3 linked regions of the Schizosaccharomyces pombe genome follow. The protein of the gene in region 1 interacts with the protein of each later gene in a pairwise test. Each region holds a gene or a part of one and is shown in the gene's direction. Other genes may lie near its edges.

Region 1 (3,569 bases):
GCGCAAGCTTTGGGTTTTTGCATCGCCTGAGAAGTTTTAGATGGTGATTGAAAACTTATGATGTATATACGAGCTTCTCTTATTTAATGGCATTCATTGTGAGGCAATCAATCTTGAAGACTTCCTTACGACTTTGAATTTTTCCTTTCCCTAATTGCTATTCACTACTTTCGTATCTTCTTCAACAACGATACTTTTGAGTTTTTTAAATTTGCATATGAAAGTCATTAATGATTTTTTTTTTGCTTCGGGAGTTTCTATTATTGTGGTCCTTTTTTTTTTTGGAAGGTTTCTAGCTGTAATATAGCCATTTATAAACCCTGTTTGAGATGTCTGTTTGTCAAGCGAGATTTTTTTCATGTCACTCTTTCGTCTTTTCTTTTTAACACCCGATAGGTCGCTGTATAATACAAATTCCCTTTATACATTATTAGATTAGTCTTGTTCTTTTTTGTACATGTGTTTAATATGGCTTAACAAAGTGTAATCTATAATTTCTTCATTTATCAAATTATTGGAATATTGCTAAAGTAGCGAAGTTCGAATTGTACGAGAGTAAAATTTTGAGAGTAGTGCACAGTTTGTATTCACCAAATTTCTATCCTCAACCCACCACCAGTTGGAGGTAAAATTGCGGTAGAAAGGCAACCATGGCTGCCACAACCGGTAATATTATCAAATTTGAAGAAAATGCAGATTCGAAAGATTTGCTGGAGCAATGCTTGAATTGCTCTGATGTTGGTGTTGTATCCAACACTGTTCGCAATATGGATGGTACTATTGCGGCTGATTTAGCTAGAACTTTAATCCCAGCCATGTTGATAAATATGCAGCCATCCCTTGCGATTTGGTTGCATTGGATTATTGTTACACATGGTGGATATTTGACCACCGTCATGGATTTGCAGGATTCACTTGTTCAGTTACATGAAAAGCTTGTACAAAGTGCTCATTTAATGACTAAAATTTTTTCTTTGTCCGGAAAATTAAATATGGTTTTATCTCAGGAAGAGATGAGGCAACGTCGACTTGATTTTTCGAGTGAAGATGGAGAAGAAGAGGAGGAAAACGATTACATCGATGAGGATGTGGATGAAGCAGGCTACGATATAGAGGTAGTTGATGAAGCAGAAAATGATGACATGGACAATGATTTGGAAGCAAATGCCGATGCGTTTGATGAAAGCAATTTGGAAGCTTCTTTGTCGCCAAATGCAGAATTATCACCTAGAAAAAGTCACATTGATCATGACTTTGTCATCCCGGAAGATGAAATGCTTTCTGAAGAAGAGGAACAAGAGGTGGAAAAACAAATTCTACCTAAATTTGTTGTCCCCGAAAGCCCAAGAAAAACTAGTCGCAAATCTCGGTAAAATCGGGAATACCTCTGTAAGAAAAAAATCATTCCTTTTGCATAACTTCTGTTTTCTTTTGATCATAATAAATAGAGTGTCTTGATCAATTTACAAAGCTCTACTTTTTTTCCTTTATATTTTATTGGTTCCTTGGATATTAATATTTGGTGCCATGAGAATGACGCTTTATCGTTTTATGGGTACGTGTTGGAATTCGGAAATTGTTTTTACTTAGTTTTAATCTATACATAAATAATATGGATACACCATACATGTATATAAACAAACCAAGTTTGTAAGTATTTGTAGATTGTGTGACTAACCTGCAGTCGTATCGTATATTTAGCGTGTTCATTCGAAAGTATGCCCATAATTTAATCATGAAGCCATTTGTTGGTTTGCTCAACAAATTTATAGTTCTACATTTCTTTTCATCTTCTCGAATATCAAATGTTAAGACAATTTTTGATATTTTGTAATAGCGCAATATTTTTTTCATTGTATCCAATATCAATTAGTGTAGTGCTGTATATATTAACAAAAAAATTGAAATAATATTAATTTATTAACATAAGTAAAACCTCCATAACTCTTGACAAACTACTCTAAAATTTTCTGCCAACAACCAACTACTTTAAAAATGGGTTTTTCTGATCTCACCTCTGACGCTGGTCTTAAGCAACTTAACGACTTCTTGCTTGACAAGTCTTTCATTGAAGGGTAAGTCATTTTTGTGCGGAAAATGCATCAAAATAATAGTGAAATACCATTTGATCACAAATCGTATTTTTTTTCCTTTGTTAAAAGTTCCCTATGGCATATCTACAAGTGCAAAGACTATTTTTTAAAGCCCTCTCAATTAGACACGATAGCCGTCTTTTAACAAAAAACGTGAAAATGCTTTGTTTGTATCTTTTCACTGAGCTTGATGTTTTTTAATTACCAAATCCTTTCTAACGTTTTATAGATATGAGCCTAGCCAAGCTGATGCTGTAGTCTTTAAGGCTGTTGGCGTTGCTCCTGATACTGCCAAGTACCCCAACGGTGCTCGTTGGTACAAGCAAATTGCCACTTATGACCTTGCCACTCTTCCTGGTACCGCCAAGGAGGTTTCTGCCTATGGTCCTGAGGGTGCTGCTGCCGCTGAAGAAGATGAGATCGATCTCTTTGGCTCTGACGAAGAGGAGGATCCTGAAGCTGAGCGCATTAAGGCCGAGCGTGTTGCCGAATACAACAAGAAGAAGGCTGCTAAACCCAAGGCCGTTCACAAGTCTCTTGTCACCTTGGATGTTAAGCCTTGGGATGATGAAACCCCTATGGACGAATTGGAGAAGGCCGTTCGTAGCATTCAAATGGACGGTCTTGTTTGGGGTCTTTCCAAACTTGTTCCCGTTGGTTTCGGTGTCAACAAGTTCCAAATTAACTTGGTTGTTGAGGACGACAAGGTTTCCTTGGAAGCTCTTCAAGAGGAGCTTGAGGGTTTCGAAGATTACGTCCAATCTACCGATATCGCCGCTATGTCCAAGTTGTAAGTTGTTTTACAACTAAAGCGTTCTTCCGTTTATCAGGGAGGTCCTTAGGAATTACAAAAGGATCTTCTCCTCTATATTCTAATGTTAGAGGGGAATGTGTGGATATGGGAAAGCAAATAATTAAATTTGTTTTTGGTTTATATCTATCGATTGTTTCATAAAGTACGATTTTTTTACCTCAATCGTGTTGTAAGCGTGTAAATCTGTATAATTAAGAAATATGGGGTTCGAACGGTGTATTTTATGCAATTCAAGCAATGGTAATTGACATAGAAATGTATGACAAGTTATTTTTTTTGCATCAATCATGAATACTGAAATTACGTCTCTAAAGCCCAGTCGGGTATTTACGATTGATGACTGTAATGTATGGGCAGTAAGTGAAACAATCTGTTTAATTTGGATGATCCAATACCATTTTTTTATGCTGCGGTTCTTTGCAACAGTCCTGCGTAGATCAACTCATATTTTTACTATTTCGACAATTGTTTTACACTTCTCAAAATTGGGTATTATTTAGAAAATACTCTTTACGATGAAATGTATATGAAGAAAAATAACTTTGAAAATGTATTACTAAAATGAATAAAACAACTAGCAACATATAGAACATAAGTTAATATGATTCAGTTAACAACGTTAAGAATACATTAAACAGTAGATGAGAAAAAGAATTTAAGTA
Region 2 (3,589 bases), 1.1 Mb from region 1:
ATGGCTGTTGTCAGCGAATGGTTAAATTCTATTGCTGGGTTTATGATAGTTGAGTACTACATATTACAGTGTATACCCAATTTTCGCTCTTACGAAGAAGTTCAAAACATTTGGACTATTATTTGTGAAAAGTTGGTCGAAACAATTTTAAGTGTTGCGTTTACAGAGCAAAGTACCACTACAATAATAAAACTGAAAAATCAAATTGTTTTGCTTATGCATACCATGGAGAGATTTGGGTTTTCCGTTGAAAGTTTGCGGAACTTATGTGTCGAGCTTATTGATGCTTTTGGTGGAGCCCTTATATTGAAGCATTCTGTGTTCTTTGAAGAGGCGTTTGAAAAGGATGTGTATGCTCCCATGATCGTTGAGACACAGGAGGAATATGACCATTATATAGCGCCCTATTGGAACTTCCCCTCTGAACCCTTCCCAAGAACAATGAGCTTTTCAAAGATGTGCCCACTATGTTGCACAACTCTTTCTAAATTTGTCCGTCATTTCTTCATGTTCTTAAATGATTCTGTCATATTGGCTACCGAAGTTAATGAAAAGGCACCACGATTCTATAGAAGGTTTATTCTTCGAAGCCTTGTTGATAGATTGAAGAGTTTATATCCAAAACTTGCACTTTCTCAAATGTCTCAACTTGTTAAAAACTTTTACGCATTTGAAGATCCTTTGTTACAAATAGAGAAAAGCCTCGTTTTAAATAAGCCTATACACCAGATTGGTGCGGAAGCCTCTTCTAGTAATAATGTTAAATCAACTGAATTACTTGAAGGTTTAGCGAATGCACGAAAGTCTGCACTTCACGAAATTTTTGTTAAAATAAATTTAAAAATCGACGACTTTCTCGGCTTGGCAGAGTACGATTGGACGACTACTCAGGTCCGAAAGGATGTTAGTGGATATTTGCAAGAAATGGTTACATATCTCCAAACCATGTATCTTGAATCGCTTGCAGGTCTTCCAAAGCATGACAAGTCGTACGTGTATTTGGAGACTCTTGATCATCTTTGCACTGCTATGGTTGATTTGTTGTCAGATCCATCTATTCGAAAAGTTACGACTGCTGCCGCCGAGGGTTTCAAATTGGACGTTGAGTATTTAGAAAGTTTTGCAGCTCAAGTACCTGATCAAAGCATTGTTAATGCCGACAGTTTTATAGAGTTACGACAATGCGCAAATCTGCTGCTAGGAGATAATATGGAGGAGTATTTGGATACGGATAAGTTTATGAGAGACTTCAATAGATTGCAACCAGCGGTTGCTATCAAGTTTTTAGAGAGGTATAATATTCCCGCATGTTTACAAGATAATTTTACTAACCTTTTGTGCAGGCATATTAATAATTATTCTGCTAATCCCCTTAGCAATGATCGACCAAAGCGAAGGGCCATTGAAATTTTAATAGCTACTTTGAAGAAAAGATAGCAGATCCTTCAACGATAATTTCATTTATTGATATAGTTAAATGTGTTTTCGGGGAATTAATTAACTATCTATTTCACTCATTTGACTCATTTCATATTTTGTCCAGCTGATGGTTCTTTACTTTCACTTTTTTATATGAGCAATGCGGATGAGTGTTCATTTAAGCCTTAGAGGAGGAAACCTTTTAATTTCGTTTAATTTCTCCTTTTTTTGAGACCTTAACTGAACTCACTACAAACACCTGTCCCATGACCCAAAAAACATTAATGTACCTAAGCTATTGATGGAAGCTAGCAGTATATTGCTTGCAATACCAGTAATGATCTTTATTTTGTTCAATCAATGCGAAAGATAGAGAATTAATTTACTTGAGAAAAAGTATAGGTCGTTATGCTTACCAATTGCCTTTTTCCATTGTACAAAGCTCGTTCTCGTAATTTTTACATTTGAACCCCTAATTGATTTATTTTTCTGTAGATGTTAATTTATTGTTGTAAAAAGTCCATTTTTTACAAACCTAGAATTCTCTTCTTTCATCTCATTTATATTGTTGCTATATGTGTTTTCAGGCCAGCGACTCACTCTCCACAAACCAACCTCAATTCATTTTCGAAATATATCATCATGTTTTTGGGCACATTATATTCTTTCAAAACTAATACGAGAACTGTTTGCCTTTTGGAGTTGGCTAAACTCCTTGATCTCCAAGTTGATCTTGTTGAGACTTATCCTCATAAATTCTCTGCAGATTTGGCTGCAAAGTTTCCTCTCCAAAAGGTATGTAATTATAAATTTAATTTAAAAAAATTTTTGGCAATATAAGTCGGATGTCGTGTATTGGAATCTGTAGGATTTTACCGTGGTTTAATAAGTGGAGGGTTTTATAACGTTTTGCAAGTCTGTTTCCAATTGTGGCTTACTTCATATAAATGCCAAAACACTGTTTACAAATTATTAAAATTCGACATTTGATTTGAAATGTGACATGCTAATATTCGTTCACCGTACTTATTTTACGCATAACTTTTTAGGGTAATATTGACTAATTAATTACTAGCTCCCTGTCTTCATTGGTGCTGATGGCTTTGAATTATCTGAAGTTATTGCCATTGTTAAATATTTCTATGAAAAGGGAAAGCACAATGACAAGGAAGGACTTGGTCCTGTCAATGAGGTTGAAGAAGCTGAGATGTTAAAGTGGATGTGCTTCATTAACTTTGACATCGTAACGCCTCAAAATGTCCGCCCTTGGGTTGGTATGTTCCGTGGTAACATCCCTTACGAGGAGAAGCCTTTCAAGGAATCTGCCACCAGAGCAATCGATAGCTTGAAGATTCCCAACGAACTTGTTAAGGATCGTACATATCTTGTAGGGGATCGCTTCACCCTCGCCGATTTATTTTTTGGAAGTTTACTTCGTATATTCTTCAATTCCATTATTGATGAAAAAACACGCAAGGAGCTTCCTCATTTAACTAGATATTATATAACTATGTTTCATCAAGCAAAACTTGAAACATATTTTCCCTTGGAGTTGCCTTTGACCGTTACTGTGGCCAAGAAGTAAAGAGATTTAGCGCTGATGCTCCTGCTACTATTTTATATAACTCCAATAAAATGCGTTCTTTCACAAACGCGTGATTTAAGATAGAAGATTGAAAGAAAAAGAGAAGCTATGGAAATGTAACTAATCTCTTTTATTAATAGCTTAAGTATATTTCAAAATAGATTGCTCACAAACCTTTAGAGCAAACCATCATCATTGTGATGAGCTATACTTTTAAATTTTTAAGATTCTGAGATTTACAAAGACTCTTCTAATGAAGTAAGTAAAATTACTTTTATAAAATAAATTGTAATTTTTTGTTTAATTTGGGATTTTGTTGTTCAACTTTTAAGACAAGCTCATCGTAAGTTTCATATTGGTCACCTCTAAAAATCTTCGGACTTTTTGAACTCAATGGGTCGCGAAAACCATTTACTGAATTCGCTCGATAAGATTCCTAGTAGAGTCCCTTCATCACGGGTTGAACACCAAGTTTTTGATTTGAGAGAATATTCATAATGTTTGGGACCACTGGTTTTAGGTTAGTACCGATTCTAACAAGACTAAACTTGGATGCTAGTCTAATATAATGGGACTTAAGGTCAT
Region 3 (3,570 bases), on another chromosome or scaffold:
AGACTACCTTTTGAAATTTTCTTTCAATTCGGTGTTAAGAATAAACGCACAAATTAGTCAAAATAGTTAGAAGATCAAATTTTGCGATCGAAAATATTTATCTGATAATAATTGATATCGTAAAAGTGACTATTATTATTCGTAATCAGATACAACGAATTACAGAGTATCGCAGTAATAAACGAGTTAATTATAAGCAATATGCACACATATTTGGATCGTCCTTTCTATGATTTTTTGGGTAATGAGTGAGCGACAAGATCGTACTTGGTAATTTGATTGATATTTCGTCGAATAGGTTCTACCGCTTTACCAAAAGTAATTAGTTAATAAAGCTAATACTTGGTATCAATTTTTGGGTAAACTTCTATAGGTAAAAAAAAAATGATTTACGTTGATTAAATGTGCCACGTTCCACTTTTAAAAGCCGAAAACGTTTGAAATTGCATATTTATATTATTTTTAATAGCTCAATATTCCATTCATACGCTTGCTTTATGCAACGCCAATCATTGTTTATTGAAAGATACCATCATTTCTTGTAGCTCACAGAAACTTGGCCGAACGGCTGTTTAGAAGTAAATAAATAAGGAATTGAAAATGATCCTAGATGTTTCAACTATTTTTAGCTATTACTGGGTTTGCTTAATAATTTGATTAAACGCCATAAAATATATTAAAAAGGTCTTTCTATTTGTTGTTTATAGCAGTGGTTTGTTCTCAAAACTTACAATGTTTTATGATCTTCGTTCATAAACGAGCATTCTCTCTCCCCAGATTTCGCTAGTAATAAGCTAAATATATCAAGTAATTTTAATATTATGAGTGAATGCATACAAAAAAGAAATGCTTCGAAAATAAAACTCTTTCTAAAAGGAAAATCTAGTGATGTTGAAGAGCTTTTCATAATTATACTGTCAACATAGCAGCATTGTTAATGTTTTGAATGAAAGCCTGATGTCAGAGGGTTTTCTTTTAAAAAAATTTTTATATATATATATATATATATACATGATTATTAATAAAACAAAAAGAATAAGAACATTCTCAATCATCCTGTTCATTATATTTCCTTCTTTTCATTCTCAAATGACAAATAAATAGTTCATTTATCAATAACTCATGGTCTCCACCATATCTAAAAATCACCAGTTAGTGTAAGATTGAAGTAAGCATGTGTCTCGATATTTACTACGTATGCTGCGTTATCTACTTTTTGGCTGGTTACAAGTGATTAGATATTTACAAATTCGCTGCACTATCTACTTGTACAATCCCCCTTGTACCGTTTTTTAGGTAATGCGTCTAATCCTTCCCAGAACTACGAGGCTTCGGATGAGACACCTATGTGATGACTGACTGCATCGGTTCTTCAAACGGCACTGAATAATCCAAAACCTTTCTTGTTACGAGTACATTTGAGTAATGTACCGCAGTTAATTGCCCAGGCAAAAATTGAGCTATATTAATTTTGCTATAATTATACAAAAAGTAAACAGTAAAATTGAAACCTAAAGCATTATATACATATAATAAATCTTATCAGACATGCTAGCTGATATACCTTTTAATATATTTTTAACAACGAAATGATGGGTTTTGAAAAGTATTAAACATCTAGAAAATCAATATAAAGAACATTTACATATGTAATGGCCTTCATAGATAACTGAAATCGTTTTAAACATCATATTCTTTGCTAGACACCGTCTGGTCGGTGTTAGAATATCCCTAACTAACCACCATAGAGGGTAGGGTTAGTGACTTTTTCCTATCAGTAATTTAACGAGATTACCTTAAGGAACGCTTAAATTGTCAAAAGTACATAAATATCAAAAGAACGTATTTCCCCCGTTCACGTTTACACCTTTATCGTTCCCTTCATTTTTTGGTTGTTTCATTTTGTTCTTAAGTTATTATGGATCCCGTTCGTCTTTATTACAGCTACAATGACATTCATAAGATGTGTGCTCAACAGGCAGAAAAAATTTTGGAAACCTTTCGTCCTGATGTGATTATAGCCATTGGAGGTGGTGGATTCATTCCGGCTAGGTAAGTTGAACAAATAAAGAAGATAACAGGAAGAAGCGCTTCCTATAACGGCCTACTGCGTTAAAATTTGAATGGCAGCATCTTTGTGATTTCACAAATGATTGATTTTAACAATGCTTATCCACGATAAGGATTTTAAGGCTTTTATGTATGATCTTTTCAAAAGGACGCATCGTTTACCTGCATTTTCAATTGAGCCCAAGAATCCATCGTGGTGCATTCAAATTCCTTGCTCTTCTTATCTTCATATGGTTAACATTTGCTAATATAACAGAATCCTTCGTACTTTCCTTAAGAAAAAAGGAAGCAAAAATATTCCCATTCAAGCCATTGGTCTCAGCCTGTATGAAGAGCTTGTTTCTGATTCCCCTGAAGAAGTTCCTGGGCTTGAAGTTAAGCGAACTCAATGGCTTGATTTTAGTACTCTTGGAATGGTTGATCTCGTTGGCAAGAACATTCTAATTGTTGACGAGGTAGATGATACTCGTACCACTCTCCATTATGCTCTTCGCGAGCTTCAAAGAGATGTTGCCGAGCAAGCTAAGAAGCTTAACCGTGAAGGAGAGAAGACCACATTTGGTATTTTTGTTGTCCATAATAAGGTTAAACCAAAAAATGCTCAATTGGATAAGGAGATTTTGGATAAATATTACTTTACTGGTTGCAATACTCCCGACTGCTGGATCATGTATCCTTGGGAAGCTCAAGACATTGAGGAGCATGACAGTCATGTTGCAAAAATGGGGGATTTGAAGCCATAGATTGGAGTCTCGTGTTTTGTAAACTATAGTGAGCTTTTCGAATTTACTCTTAATTATTAATTCGCAAACTATCTATTTGATCCACACGCCTTCACCTCTTTCCTAAAGCCCACTTTTTTTTTTGTCGACATGCATATACATATATAGATTTGATAAATTTTGCGAATAACCTTTATAAATACTCTTGGTAACAATAGAAATGAAATAGCTTGACAATTTGATATGGGTAAGAATTTAAGTTGAATAATTGATGGAGTGAAGCATTAGGATAAATGTATGCAAGATTAAAGTTAATGAGACTGGTCATTGTTTAACGAAAACTTCACTGTTCTATCAATCGATGTATATCTTACTAATTAAATTAACATAGACAGTGTAGTCCATATTATGATGGCCGATTAAAATAGTTATATGTAAAGATCAGCAGTATGGAGGCAGGTGTGAAATGCTAACAAAACAGTGCAAATCGAAAAAATGTGGGCTAACGATTATTTGATGATTTAATTATGATTTAGTTTCACGGTCTATGATTGAGCGGCTCCACCTTGGGAAGGATGCATTGAAGAATCAAATATTTGAGTAATTCCAATCCTTCTTTCACGAATAATTTTCTTCTTTTCAGGCGATAAACGTGTTGACTCTTCGTTTTTCTGCAATGCTTCTTCTGTTGTTGACTCGGAATCAAGCGTTTGTCTTAGCTTTTCTTCGTCATATGCAAGAACATCTTCAGCAGTAATTTGTATTGCCGTAGGATTTC

The links.
Region 2: the proteins of tef5 (region 1) and SPOM_SPCC1183.02 interact in a two-hybrid assay, tested with the Schizosaccharomyces pombe proteins (one large-scale study listed by BioGRID).
Region 3: the proteins of tef5 (region 1) and hpt1 interact in a two-hybrid assay, tested with the Schizosaccharomyces pombe proteins (one large-scale study listed by BioGRID).

The regions. Positions count from the first base shown.
Region 1 is NC_003421.2:1,730,779-1,734,347, forward strand, and holds tef5 (translation elongation factor EF-1 beta subunit, guanyl-nucleotide exchange factor (eEF1B)), read left to right. Parts: upstream 1-1,972; 5' UTR 1,973-1,995; coding exon 1,996-2,075; exon of another isoform or gene 2,076-2,216; intron 2,217-2,322; coding exon 2,323-2,887; 3' UTR 2,888-3,069; downstream 3,070-3,569. Other genes in the region: ribonucleoprotein complex protein Utp502, read left to right, coding at 651-1,373.
Region 2 is NC_003421.2:592,999-596,587, forward strand, and holds SPOM_SPCC1183.02 (glutathione S-transferase), read left to right. Parts: upstream 1-2,024; 5' UTR 2,025-2,061; coding exon 2,062-2,214; exon of another isoform or gene 2,215-2,351; intron 2,352-2,452; exon of another isoform or gene 2,453-2,494; coding exon 2,495-3,004; 3' UTR 3,005-3,056; downstream 3,057-3,589. Other genes in the region: exocyst complex subunit Sec15, read left to right, coding at 1-1,292, 1,344-1,437; fxn1 (frataxin), read right to left, coding at 3,370-3,514. UniProt on the Schizosaccharomyces pombe protein: Involved in the oxidative stress response and detoxification.
Region 3 is NC_003424.3:2,154,805-2,158,374, reverse strand, and holds hpt1 (xanthine phosphoribosyltransferase), read left to right. Parts: upstream 1-1,857; 5' UTR 1,858-1,918; coding exon 1,919-2,052; intron 2,053-2,326; coding exon 2,327-2,813; 3' UTR 2,814-3,001; downstream 3,002-3,570. Other genes in the region: hcn1 (anaphase-promoting complex TPR lobe accessory factor subunit Hcn1/Apc12), read right to left, coding at 3,338-3,570. UniProt on the Schizosaccharomyces pombe protein: Converts guanine to guanosine monophosphate, and hypoxanthine to inosine monophosphate. Transfers the 5-phosphoribosyl group from 5-phosphoribosylpyrophosphate onto the purine.